Arabidopsis thaliana: one gene and its partner. The protein of the gene in region 1 binds, or shares a complex with, the protein of each later gene. Each region holds a gene or a part of one and is shown in the gene's direction. Other genes may lie near its edges.

What was found.
Region 2: LSM1B (region 1) and LSM6B share a complex: the UniProt entries of both Arabidopsis thaliana proteins name them as parts of the heptameric LSM1-LSM7 complex.

Annotation. Positions count from the first base shown.
Region 1 is NC_003074.8:4,664,416-4,671,249, forward strand, and holds LSM1B (Small nuclear ribonucleoprotein family protein), read left to right. Parts: upstream 1-2,892; 5' UTR 2,893-3,076; exon of another isoform or gene 3,077-3,186; 5' UTR 3,187-3,301; coding exon 3,302-3,362; intron 3,363-3,914; exon of another isoform or gene 3,915-3,934; coding exon of another isoform or gene 3,935-3,965; coding exon 3,966-4,034; intron 4,035-4,125; coding exon 4,126-4,241; intron 4,242-4,326; coding exon 4,327-4,389; intron 4,390-4,496; coding exon 4,497-4,574; 3' UTR 4,575-4,779; downstream 4,780-6,834. Other genes in the region: AT3G14075 (Mono-/di-acylglycerol lipase, N-terminal;Lipase, class 3), read right to left, coding at 1-165, 254-430, 539-657, 747-849, 968-1,240, 1,324-1,521, 1,627-1,923; EXO70D3 (exocyst subunit exo70 family protein D3), read right to left, coding at 5,093-6,834. UniProt on the Arabidopsis thaliana protein: Component of the cytoplasmic LSM1-LSM7 complex which is involved in mRNA degradation by promoting decapping and leading to accurate 5'-3' mRNA decay.
Region 2 is NC_003071.7:18,145,786-18,152,679, forward strand, and holds LSM6B (Small nuclear ribonucleoprotein family protein), read left to right. Parts: upstream 1-3,411; 5' UTR 3,412-3,590; exon of another isoform or gene 3,591-3,789; intron 3,790-3,914; 5' UTR 3,915-3,939; coding exon 3,940-4,054; intron 4,055-4,838; coding exon 4,839-4,952; intron 4,953-5,047; coding exon 5,048-5,094; 3' UTR 5,095-5,510; downstream 5,511-6,894. Other genes in the region: AT2G43800 (Actin-binding FH2 (formin homology 2) family protein), read left to right, coding at 1-1,359, 1,444-1,631, 1,783-2,036, 2,118-2,936; UGT74F2 (UDP-glucosyltransferase 74F2), read left to right, coding at 6,494-6,894. UniProt on the Arabidopsis thaliana protein: Component of LSM protein complexes, which are involved in RNA processing. Component of the cytoplasmic LSM1-LSM7 complex which is involved in mRNA degradation by promoting decapping and leading to accurate 5'-3' mRNA decay.

The DNA of each region.
Region 1 (6,834 bases):
ATCCGAAGTTTCGGGTATATCTTGGGACATTGCTTCAGAAGTATCTAACTGATGTTCCGAGATTGACTGAGTAGCAGAGGCTCTGCGCCGGGGTCCCATACATGACCAAGAAGATATGCTTAGTGCAGGACGGGTCAGCATGCTTTGAGCTCTTCTCATCACAACCTGCAAAAGTTTTGTTTTATTCACAAAATTTTAGAGTCTCAAGTTCTATATTAAGTTTATAAGGATATTTCTTATATTTTATTCTTACCTGTGTGCCACTAGAAACCGGGCGTAACATTGCACCAGCGCCAGCAACTTTTGCTTTGGCAGTGGCCATCGATGGAAGTCGTGATCCTAAAGCCGTCGCTGAGCGATAAACAGTGCTGAGGATTCGGGTGTGTTCGATTTGATTTCTCAGATCATTTAGCCAAGCAGATGCTGTTACCTGATGAAAAGGTGGAAGGGAAGAATAAATAGTTTATCTCAAGAAAACACAACAGACGTTTTCCCAAGTATATAAATGAAGCATAGAATTTGGGTCTAGGAAGCTAACCTCAGCACGTAAGTCATCTACAGCTGCAGCAGAAAATGTAGGCACCAGATCAGCTCCGTTTATGACAGATACGATGAAGTCATTCCCAGAGTCGGCTAATTCCCAAGTCATACAAGCAGCTGAAGAAAATAGGTAGGAACAAGCACTAAGTCTTGTATCTTAAGAAGATATAAACATATATAATTGAAAACTAGATTGTATGAAAAACCTGGCGCAAATGTAACACATGTAGCTGTAGAGAGCATTTTCTGCTCCCGCATAATATATGTTAAAAGTGCAGCCGTTCCACCACCCAAAGAGTGCCCTACGATCTGCCAACAAAATGCAGGAGAATTACAATGTATAGGGCTAGAGACAATCTTTGGTTTCTCACACAATGGGTTTTAGGAAAAGTTGAAATAAAGATTAGAGAACGGGCTACAAAAGTACCTTGATTTTGTAATCTGGATATTGCTCAAGACCCTTGAGAAGACAAGGGGTGGCAAGTTTAGCTATACACCGGGCAGCAGCAACCATACCACAATGAGCATAACCTAAGACCAAATTGCTGACCCCTCTTTCATTTACAACAGTATGATGGAACGGTACGATTGCTCCAGTTGCAGCAGTCAAGGTATCTTTGATGCTATGCGTTCCACGAATCAATAACAGAAAATATTTTGTATTGTGATCGACAAGAACCGTAAAAGCTGGCTTCAATATCTACATGGTGCAAAATTCAAAACTAAACTTCTCAATTTCTATGTTGAAAAAGTGCCTAAGAGTTGAGAGTTGTTAAAGTTTACCCCAGCTTTGGGTTCATGAATAAGGACATTTTCCTTTGTAAAGCCGGTCTCTTCTAAGAAAAACGGAAACGACTTCTTGGAAAAATGCCAACACAATGTCAACAAGTGCAAAAGATATTTGAGTTCAGTGGCTACTTCTGATCCTCTAAGTTCTACACTATCTTTACCACCAAAGACACGATCAACATGTAGAAGTCCCTACGGTTTTAGGTACACAATTACAAAAAGTTCAATTTTGACCACAAGATAATTAGAAAAAAATCCAGAACTTAAGACCGTTAAAACGATGAAGAGATGTTATACCTGCCTCTTGATGAGAAAATTGATCCCAAACGCAAGATCACCAATAGGCCACTTCCCAAGAGTCTCAGAGTAAGTAAAACGAAGAGTCTCAGAAAGAGTAGAAATAGTCTCCAACCAAGTTGCCGGAGCTTGAATAAGCCTATGCGAAACACGGTCAATCCTCAAAGAAGGACGAGAAGCAGAAGCTTCAGAATTCTCATCGTCAACGTCAGATGGACCAGCTATTAATTTCCGATTCAACGTGTAATATAAAAGAGCAGCTGCTCCAGCTGCTGTTGCCATAGTTGCAGTTGCCATGATCAATCTATCCCTAAAATCATCAATGAAACAAATTCGCTCAATCCAAGACGAAACTCAATCTAATAAGAATACAAAATTTAAAGACAAAATCGATTGAAACTACATTGGATGCCACAATTTCAATCTCCAGATGCGTTCTTAAGTATCTCAGACTTATTCCAGAAATCTCCAAAAACATGTAAAGCTGGAAAATTGGATATAATTTCGTACAAAGAACATTCTTTTCACCAATTAACCCCAAAGAATTCGGGATACAAAAAAAAGAAGCCATTAATAGAAAACTCTCACTTTCCTGAAACTTCTCGAATACCACAACAAACCCTACTCCTGATAACTATCGCGTCTTTTAACCGATGCAAATCATAAAATTGAATGTGATTTAGCTTAAAATTGAACAGGATCGGTGAACTATAGAAACAAAACCCTAAATCCTACCCCAAGAATAGCATCGTTAAAACACGAAGTTCTTTGTGAATCAAACCTGGAAAAATAAGACGAAATCGTGACCTTAATTTGAGGGTTTTACAGTGGAGAAGGAAGGTTAAGGTTGCTTTAGCTTATGTACGATATCTCCGGGAAGGGGAAGCTGCTTTCTCTCCGATGATGTTGTTAGCTACAAGATGCTGCAATGCAAAAGTGTGAAAACAGAATTTTTTGTTTTGCTTTAAATAAACTGCGCTACGTTTTTGTGCTAAGCGAACGCCGCGTAGTTTCGCGCCGCCGAGATCTGATGCTTACGTGGGAATATATTATTGGATGACTTACCCATAAAAGCGTTTTAACATAAATCAAGCAGTAAATAATAATAGTGTTAAATCGACTTTTTTGGTCCATAAATTAAAATTTATTCGAAACAGATATTTTATTAGCTTGGAAGATTAGTCTCATTTATTTAAGAAACATTCAGTCACAATAATTATTAGGAAATTTAACATTAAATTGGAAAGTGCTTAAAGTATTAAAGTACAACGTCTTATCTATCGAGTTAAGAAATCGTGGACATTGCTTGAAAATAATAAAAAAGGGACAGTGGACGGATTTGCTCGCTAGTTTTCTCTTCGAATTTTCCACAAACAAATTTTCTCAGCCAAAGTTCGATCGGATCTGGGTTTTATATTTTTTTGAAGAACCCGTGTCCGTCTTCGATCAGGTGTCGAAAGTCTCAATCTTTTTTAATCACTTTATCAATTTAAACCCTTTGGTCAAAACCCTAATTTAGATTTCTCTTTCCGTCTTCACTTTTTTTTTTTCCTGTCAAAGTTCGCGTTCAATAGCCAAATCTTATCTCTTCAGCTGGAATCTGACGAACATTATTATCATCGGTAGTGTTCTATAGAAAGACCGAAAGTTTTCTTCAATTTCAAAGTCAGTGGCGATGTCGTGGGCTGGTCCTGAAGAAATTTATCTTTCAACATCACTCGCTAGTTATCTCGATAGTAAATCCGTCTCTCTTTCTCTCTGTTTCACATATTTGTTGAACCGTATGAATGCATGTAGTTAAAATAATTGGCCGTGATGGCTCTGTACGCATTTGGGAGCTCAATTTTGCAAACAATTCTCTGTTTTTTTGACGTTTGATTTTGACTTCTTATTGATATATAGGCTGTACTATTTTGTGGCTGTATCCAAAGCTTGTCAATTTTGGTGTTGAATTGTCTCAAAGAGACATTCATTGATTAAGATATTGATTATTGAATCAAAGCTTTAGTTTTTTTTTAATTGGGTCAAATCTAACTGTTCATCAGTTATTGTTGTCAAGCTAAATTTTAGCATGCGTGAGAGATTAGATGTGATTGAGGTTGCTGGCTCACTCTTTATTCAACTTACGAAGTATAAACTTTAACCTTTGTTGAAATTTAATTCACTATCGGCTTTTTGATGTTGGTTCTTTGAGTTTAAAAGTCAATGATCTTCTTTTGCTGATGTTTTTGGGCTATGAGTTAGTTCTCAATCTCATTTGGCGTACCGTTTTCTTTTTTAGATATGAATCAATGTGCATCAGTTACTTATGTATGTTGGCTCTGCTCTTGATGATGCAGGAAAACTACTTGTGCTTCTTAGAGATGGTAGAAAGCTAATGGGAACACTCCGTTCCTTTGATCAATTCGGTATTCACTTTTCTTTCCATGTTTCTAGATTTACGATATTGTTGATGAGCGGGAGAGATTTGACTTTTTTTTGTTCGTTGTAAATACACAGCCAATGCGGTTCTAGAAGGTGCGTGTGAGAGGGTAATTGTTGGTGAACAATACTGTGACATTCCTTTAGGCCTCTATGTAATCCGTGGAGAGAATGTTGTTTTGATTGGTGAGCTGGTAAGACTTCTCCTTGTTTGTCTTTTCTTGCTGTGTCACCTCGTGTTTTCCAATTCACTGAGTTTGACCTTAAACTATGTATTAGGACACGGAGAGAGAAGAGCTTCCTCCACATATGATTCGCGTCTCAGAGGCAGAGATTAAAAGGGTAAGACATCGCATAACATGTTCATTTTGATTAGCCAAATTTGATTCATTTGTGATGCTGTGTGCGTGCTGATGATTTGGTTTTCGGGAATCTGTCTGTTGATGCAGGCACAAAAGGTGGAGAGGGAAGCGAGTGAGCTGAGAGGAACAATGAGGAAGAGAATGGAGTTTCTTGACTTTGATTAAACCAGATTGTATCCCCATTCATTATTGGCTTGATGCTCTGCTTTGGCTCGCAAGTTTTATGATGAGCCTTTTTGGTGTGTTGACTTAGGGGATCGACGCAATTCTTGTGTTTCATTTTGGATGAATATGACAATAAATCTGTGTACTTTTGTCTTTGGATCTATTTACCTTTTTAAGAAAAAAATGTTAAGCAATTTCTTTCTCTATTTTGGAACTTTTAAACAAGGAGCTTGCCTATGGCTACTACCAAACGGAACAAAAATGGAGCAAATGAGTAGAGGACGTCGCACATTGCAAAATTTACATGGTACTTATTGGTTCTGTGATCAATCAGGACTTTTATAAATAGAAGACATATGGCACAAACAACAACACACAAATATGTTCACCTGGAGATTATTCCACCGGGCAGGAAACCCGTGAATAAAAATTCAAAGAATGGTTCTATTTCTATGACATCCTAATGTGACTGAAAAACGAAAGAAAGAAGATAGAACTCTCGGGTTTTCGATCTTCTTTTATCGCCTCCTCAAGTGTGGTGGTGTGGTATATCCTTCGAAGAAATCTAGAACGATGGTCTCGATATCTTCAACCGAATATTTCAAATAGTTCTCAGGGTGTCTTCCACTCTCTATATGACCCCTGAACCTTCCAAGAAACGATCTATAAGCAGGGATTAGATGCTCGGATAGCGATATTCGGAGTTCTTCTCTAAGCTGAGCATCTGGAACCGACCATGTGGACTGAGTCCTGTGAACCTCTTCGAACATTGTATTGAATGCCTTAAACCTCTCTCTTAATGCACTTCTTGATACACCTGAGGAGAAACTCCCACTCACATGTAATCCTTCATCTCTCAAACTATTCAGTACTCTGACCCATGTAGCTCTCTGGTAGTTTGTGGCAGCATGTCTAAATATCCCAGTGAGTTTCCTTAAATAATGGTCTCCAATCATCTCTCGTAGTTCTGGTGACCTTTTCACTTTCTGAACAATGTAATGGATGTTGTTCATGATGAATATGTGAGCTAGAGATGTGTCTCTATAGTGCTTGGATTTCTCTTCTAAGTTGAAATGCAAGACCACAATCAACCATATCAAATGCAAATCCAACGGAGATTTACTATCCAACTCCGTGAAATCCATATCCGGTGTGTTTGGATCAGAACCAGTAGAGGGATTCGACATGATGAGATCATCCAACGTTTGCTTATAATCAGAGATCATAACAATGTAGTTCATCACATACCTTGTCAATGGATGAATCGTTCCTCCAGGGACAGGAACTATCGAAGGTTCGCGAAGAACCGCATTCTCAAACTCCGAAAGTATACCTCTCGCTGCTTCCGCTAACCTCGATTGAATCTCAACAGCCTGAGCTCTAATAGCATCTGATGAATCTGAGTCAAAGATTGCTTCAATATCCGGCAACATATCCGTTAAAGCATCATGTAAATCAAGAATCTTGAACAGCTTCTCAGGTGATCTTCTACTGATACTTATAGCTTCAGGGAAAGTGAAAAGTCTCAGAGCAGAAGCCTTCACTGTCTCCATGAAACAAGTCTCATCCATGGCAGTGCAAATACCATCAAAGAGCTGCTCACATAGTCTCTTCTCACTAGAGAAAACAACTCTAATGCAAACTTTAGCAGCACGAATCCATTTCCTGATCTTTCCTTCAACAACTTCCCACTCAAGCCTTTGAACATCACCAATGCTTATCTTCACAATCCCAAGCTGCTTAAATATTGCTTCCATGGCTGATTTGCGAACAGTTCCATAGACTTGGATACATTCACGAGAGTAACCGGCGGCGACCATTCGTTGAACAATCGATCTTAGATCAGAAACTGCTTCCGGCGAAATCAGATCCATTTCTCGTATACTGCTAGTGGATCTGTAACTGCTTCTTCTACGAGTTAACCGGCTTGAACCGGAACCACCTGGAGAATTTAATTCTTCTTCTTCGGGAGTTACGGTGGTATCTTCTCCAACTTCGACGGTTAAAGACGGAGAGACTGATGGTTCCTCGAGGAAAAGTGAATCAGGCTCGAAAGTAGTTGTGTGGGAGAGAAGAATGTTACGGAACTCGTCTTCGAGTCTAGCCATAGCGATTTGAATAGCTGAGTTGGCTTTGACCTCGTGTTCATCGACTACGGTGGCGGCGGAGGTGGCGGCGGAGGAGGAAGAAGAAGAGAAAGAGACAGAAGATAAGGACCGTTGGATTTCATCAACGGCTCGAAGAAACCGATCCACCTCAT
Region 2 (6,894 bases), on another chromosome or scaffold:
ACGTCACCACTCTCGTCACTTACTTCACCAACCCTTTTTCCCGGTCGTAACCGCCGCTCCACCACCGTATCAACCACCCGTCTCTTCCCAACCTCCATCTCCTTCCCCACACACACATCACCACCACAAGAAACACCTAACGACGACGACGCCACCACCTCACGAGAAACATCTTTTCTCCTCCGTAGCAAATCCTCCACCTCCTCCGCCGTCTCCGCCGCATCCAAACCCTTTTTTCCCTTCATCAGACCCAACTTCCACCGCCTCTCACCCTCCTCCAGCACCACCTCCTCCGGCCTCACTCCCAACTTTTCCCGCCAACATCTCTTCCCTTCTCTTTCCGACTCACAACAAACAATCCAAGCCTCCCAGCAACGGCCACATCGCTAGGCTCGTCACCATAACCGCCTCCGTCATCTCCGCCGCTGCTCTCCTCTCTCTATTCGCCGTCTTCATCATCTTCATCCGCCGAACTCGCCACCGCCGCCGCTCCTCCCCTGCAGACGACACCAAATCCACGAGATCAGACGCTCTTCAGCTCTTCAACGCCTCTCCTTCCGACGGCTCTAAGAAACAGAAACAACATCAACAACCACCAAAGTACACTTCCTCACACACTTCCTCTGAGTTTCTCTACTTAGGTACTTTAGTAAACTCTCGAAGCAATGGTTTAGAGCAGCAAAAGTCTCCAATCTCCCTCTCTGGCGGTATCACCGGCGTATTGGAATTACCTCCTCCAGCTTCGTCGTCTTCTTCTTCTTCTTACTCACAGTACCATAAGCTAGGCTCGCCAGAGCTTCGTCCTCTTCCCCCTTTACCAAAGCTCCAATCTTTCACTCCCGTTTACAAAAGCACTGAACAGTTAAACCCTAAAAGACAAGACTTTGACGGAGACGATAACGAAAACGATGAGTTTTTCTCTCCGAGAGGATCTTCAGGGCGTAAACAGAGCCCGACCCGTGTCTCTGATGTTGATCAGATTGACAACAGGAGTATCAACGGCTCAGGCTCGAACTCGTGTTCGCCGACTAATTTTGCGCCGTCGTTGAATGCTTCTCCGGGAACAAGTTTGAAACCTAAGTCAATTAGTCCTCCTGTCTCGCTGCACAGTCAGATAAGCTCAAACAACGGCATTCCGAAGCGGCTTTGTCCAGCGAGGCCACCTCCACCACCTCCTCCGCCGCCACAGGTCTCGGAGGTTCCGGCTACTATGTCGCATTCCCTTCCTGGTGATGATTCTGACCCAGAGAAGAAAGTGGAGACCATGAAACCAAAGTTGAAGACTTTACATTGGGATAAAGTTAGAGCAAGCTCGAGCCGTGTTATGGTGTGGGACCAAATCAAATCAAACTCCTTTCAGTAAGACATAACGAATCTGAATTAAAGACTTGATCTATCCTTTTGCATACACGACTAAGATATGATTCTTTTGTGTTTTTGCAGAGTGAATGAAGAAATGATAGAGACATTGTTCAAGGTGAATGATCCAACTTCGAGAACAAGAGATGGCGTTGTTCAATCCGTGAGTCAGGAGAATCGGTTTCTTGATCCAAGAAAGTCACACAACATTGCTATTTTGTTGAGAGCTCTTAATGTAACTGCTGATGAAGTATGTGAAGCTCTTATAGAAGGTGAGTAATTTCCAATCTGTTGTTGCTTAGGTTACTCGCACTTACTGCAACATTGCATTGGTTTGATGATTCCTCAAATTGGTCTGTGATTATTGAAGCTTGACTTGTTTGACTTAGTTGATGTCTAATCACTTTCTTGTTCATGAATCAGGTAACTCGGATACGCTTGGACCCGAGCTTCTCGAATGCTTGCTTAAGATGGCTCCTACTAAAGAAGAAGAGGACAAGCTTAAGGAGCTTAAAGATGATGATGATGGATCTCCTTCCAAGATAGGACCTGCAGAGAAATTCCTCAAAGCATTGTTGAACATTCCTTTCGCCTTCAAGAGGATTGATGCAATGCTTTACATTGTCAAGTTCGAATCAGAAATCGAGTACCTTAACAGATCCTTCGACACTCTCGAGGTAAAACTCTACTTGTCCACCTCATAAGTGTATGTCTGCTGATCAAACAGATCATTCATATGCATTTGATCAAACTCTCAGGCTGCTACTGGTGAGTTAAAGAACACGCGGATGTTCTTGAAGCTTTTAGAAGCCGTGCTCAAGACTGGGAACCGGATGAATATAGGAACCAATAGAGGGGACGCACATGCTTTCAAGCTCGACACGCTCTTAAAACTGGTAGATATCAAAGGCGCGGATGGGAAAACCACCTTATTGCATTTTGTGGTTCAAGAGATCATAAAATTTGAAGGAGCTCGGGTTCCTTTTACTCCGAGTCAAAGCCATATAGGCGATAACATGGCCGAGCAATCCGCATTCCAAGATGACCTAGAGCTCAAGAAACTCGGGTTGCAAGTCGTTTCAGGTCTCAGCTCTCAGCTGATTAACGTCAAGAAAGCAGCGGCAATGGATTCAAATTCCCTCATCAACGAAACAGCGGAAATCGCCAGAGGAATAGCGAAAGTCAAGGAAGTAATCACGGAGCTAAAGCAAGAAACAGGTGTAGAGAGATTCTTGGAGTCAATGAACTCGTTCTTGAACAAAGGTGAGAAAGAGATCACAGAGTTACAATCTCATGGAGACAATGTCATGAAGATGGTTAAAGAAGTAACAGAGTATTTCCACGGGAACTCGGAAACTCATCCTTTTCGCATTTTCGCTGTGGTCAGAGACTTTCTGACGATTCTTGATCAAGTGTGTAAAGAAGTTGGACGCGTAAACGAGAGAACGGTGTATGGATCCATGCCACTACATTCGCCATCGAACCAGACCGCCACGCCTCTGTTTCCGGTGGTTATCAATAACAACTCACGGCTAAGTCCATCGGGTTCTCTAGACGACGACGATGGCTCGTTCTAAGTGAAAACTGTTGGCTCGGGTTTGGTTCGGTGTATGCTAATGTTTTGGTTTCATTTGCTACGTACTCAAGTAATATATGTGTTATACATATTTATATTTTTATTGATAGGCGAATTTAAATAGATTTTGGCAGATTGTTGCAAGTTGCTATCATCGGGCTCTGTACGTGTTCCAGTCCTCTGTTGAATTATTTATGTCACGTGTAGATGTATTTATTGATCTAAACCTAAAACGATAGAAGAACTAAAGTCTTGTGAAAAGTTAAATTATTGCAAGCTATACTATTTACAAAATGTAAAAAAAGAAACTGAAATTATTCTTTTGTTTGGTTCACATTAGGCATTTCCAAATTGCTGATGTCAAACATCTTTGCAAAGTTCTTCTCCCAACGAATTTTGAAAATTCACCATTTTCACGATTAAAATTTTAAAATTGACTAAAAAGTTTTAATCTCGCACATAATTAAACCACAATAAAAAAACTTGGACTTCGGATTGTTTTCCATGTGGGCTGATTCGAATTTGGGCTTGGGCCTTTTTAATTGTAATTTTATTTTTACTTATTTGTAAATGCGTCACATGTCTTCTTCGCTCTGTTCGGCTGCTTCATCGAGCGGAAGTCTCTAGCCAATTACCGTTTGTTCGTGGACTCGAGGTTCGTTGTTCTTAGATTTCCCAGACTCATCTGTTTCTGCAATCCATTTCAAAGTTTCTCTTTTTACTTAATCCAAGTCATTCGCGCATTTCCTAATTGGTCTGAGGTTTAGGGTTTTAGGGCACATAGTTTTGTTTGATTCGGGAGTAATCGTTGAGATGCTACGAGTTTGGTATTCAAGATGATTCCTTTTCTCAAGGTCTTTATGTAATTTGATTGATTTATGGATCTCGAATTGCTGACATGAATTTGTTGCTTAAAGTTGTTGGCTTTGTGGGATATTCTGAGGGGTCTTGTTTGATTTGGATCTAATTTGGTGGGCAGATATTGTGGTTTCTTAGCAAAGAAGATGAGTGGAGTTGGAGAGAAAGCTTCTGGAACAACTAAGACACCTGCTGATTTCTTGAAATCTATCCGTGGTAAACCAGTTGTTGTCAAGCTCAACTCTGGTGTTGATTATCGAGGTCTGTCTCTCTCTCTTTCTGCATTTTGTGTTCTCCTCTAAGATGTATCCAGTTCAAATTCTTTTTTTTTTTGCCTTGTGTGATGATATCTTATAGTTTGCTTCTGATTTTCGGTGGTTATTAAGCTATCGGAAGTCTATGTAAACTTCTTTATCACTTTGGGTTTAGATGTCTCAATGCCTTTCTTTCTCGCCATGTTACTGGAACCTTTGGATGTTGGTTTACAGAATGACTCTTTTCTTTGTCTAAGAACTGCTTGCTTGATTCTCATTTGATTTGAAAGTCCCATCTCTGAAGATTCATTTTTGTTGAGCTTGCTTGTTTTTTCCCTATCTTGTCTCTGTGTTTGAGAAGGAATAATACATTTCGGCTTGAGATATTTGCTTTGGATTTTGAGAAATATAATCTAGATGAGCAGGAAATTAACATACGGCTTTGAAACATATGCTTTTTGGAATTTGAGAGGAATATTAGATTCAGATGATAGCTTTGTGAATTGAGAGAGCTTCTCTCATGAGATAACAGACCCAAATGTGGTTGAATTTGAGATGCATTTACTCTTGCTTCTGATAGAATATGGACTCTCACCTTGCTATGGAGCCTTTATCACCTGAAATTAAGACCTTGGTCTCTTGAACTCTATAATATAACTTACAGGACTAGGAGAACTTCTAGCTTGAATATCTTTCTTTGGTTTATCTACAAAAGTCAGACTTATTCTTTCTTTGGCATATCATGTTGTATCAATCTACATATGACACTTTGTCTCTCTTCTTGTTTGCAGGCATTCTTACTTGTCTTGATGGATATATGAACATCGCAATGGAGCAAACCGAAGAGTATGTAAATGGCCAGCTGAAGAACACATATGGCGACGCTTTTGTCCGTGGCAACAATGGTAAAAACCAAATCACATTCATCATCACTCTTTAAATCGGTTTAGTATGTTTTTTTATATCCAATTCTGAAAAATATGCTCTATGTTGGCCACAGTTCTTTACATCAGCACAACAAAGGGGACATTGTCAGATGGAGCATAGCTCTCTTTCATCACCATGAATGTTCATCTTCTTCTCTACCTCTGGCATATGACAAATGTAGGATTTGTAGCAACCAGAGTTTATCACCACTGCATGAATTCGACATGTCTTTTTCTTCCGCAACTCAGTTTGTGTCTAAATCATCTCCAAAATTCTGAGATATAGCTAGATTTTTATTTGTTATGAAATTTTTTTTAATCACTGTTGGTCTTTGGAGCCTAATTATCGTGTTTTGATGACGCAATCACTGCGTCACAATCTGATGTCATCTTAACAATCATTAATGTATTTTTTTTTTCTTTTCTCGTAATATTCTTAATTATTCTTCGACAGCAAAGGTTTAAAAACTCCTTATTTCAATCATTAATGTATTTATGATTTGATCGAATAACAATAATATAGCTTATTTTGTTCTATTCTATCGTATTTGATTCTTCTTTCGTTTTTTTTTTGTTTGACTTAAGAAACCGATTGTTTATAGTAGTAAACATTTGTTTTTAATGTTGCTCGATTCCAGTGCACATGTCCAGGCTAGACACTTGTCGTTATAAAGGTTGCTTTGGTTCAATATTGATCCACTAGAGATGTTACAACTATTGTTGACATCTGAGATTGTGTGATAAGAAAATATGAAACTGGATTTAGTGAAAGTTACAATATATAATCATACATCATAGATAGGAAATAAGGAAATGTCAGATATACTTGAAGAATACATCAAATAGACAAGGTCCTTTTTCTTATTGTCGACTATTATAGAGCCGTACAGAACCTTTTCACGTCTTTAGTAATTAGTACATTCTCCATTTCGGCTCTCTCTTATTTTTTTTCCATCTCTTTTACTTCTCCAAATAATAACAATAAAAGCTTCGATTTTGTGTGTGTTTGTATTTACATCTTGACATCGATATTCTTTTCATCAATTTTTTACCAAAAATGTAATAAAAACAAAAAAAAACCAACGCTGAACACAGACATGGTTTCTCCATCCGTTTATATTCATCGTTTGTATGTTTACTTAACAACTTATTTCAAAATAGTACATATCATGGTTGTGTTTTTAAAAAAAGTATACAGAACAGAAAAGCACATGGTAGACAAAATAATGAAGCCAAAATTAATACAAAGAAGAAGTTCAACTTGTATTTATTAACACATTTTCTTTCCTTGTCAAAGACATGCAAATTGGTTTTGTTTTCTTATTCCCATTTTTTTTTTATAATAAAAAGAAGAAGAGTAAAACAAAAAAACTATCATTTCTTCTTATCGCAAAACTCTTATCTAAGCAAGAAACCGACAAAACCTATATCTACATATATTCTCATCAACATCTCTTGAGACATATTCATTTTGGTTAAAGCAAAAGATTTTAAGAGAGAAAGGGGGAGAAGTGAGAGAGATGGAGCATAAGAGAGGACATGTATTAGCAGTGCCGTACCCAACGCAAGGACACATCACACCATTCCGCCAATTCTGCAAACGACTTCACTTCAAAGGTCTCAAAACCACTCTCGCTCTCACCACTTTCGTCTTCAACTCCATCAATCCTGACCTATCCGGTCCAATCTCCATAGCCACCATCTCCGATGGCTATGACCATGGGGGTTTCGAGACAGCTGACTCCATCGACGACTACCTCAAAGACTTTAAAACTTCCGGCTCGAAAACCATTGCAGACATCATCCAAAAACACCAGACTAGTGATAACCCCATCACTTGTATCGTCTATGATGCTTTCCTGCCTTGGGCACTTGACGTTGCTAGAGAGTTTGGTTTAGTTGCGACTCCTTTCTTTACGCA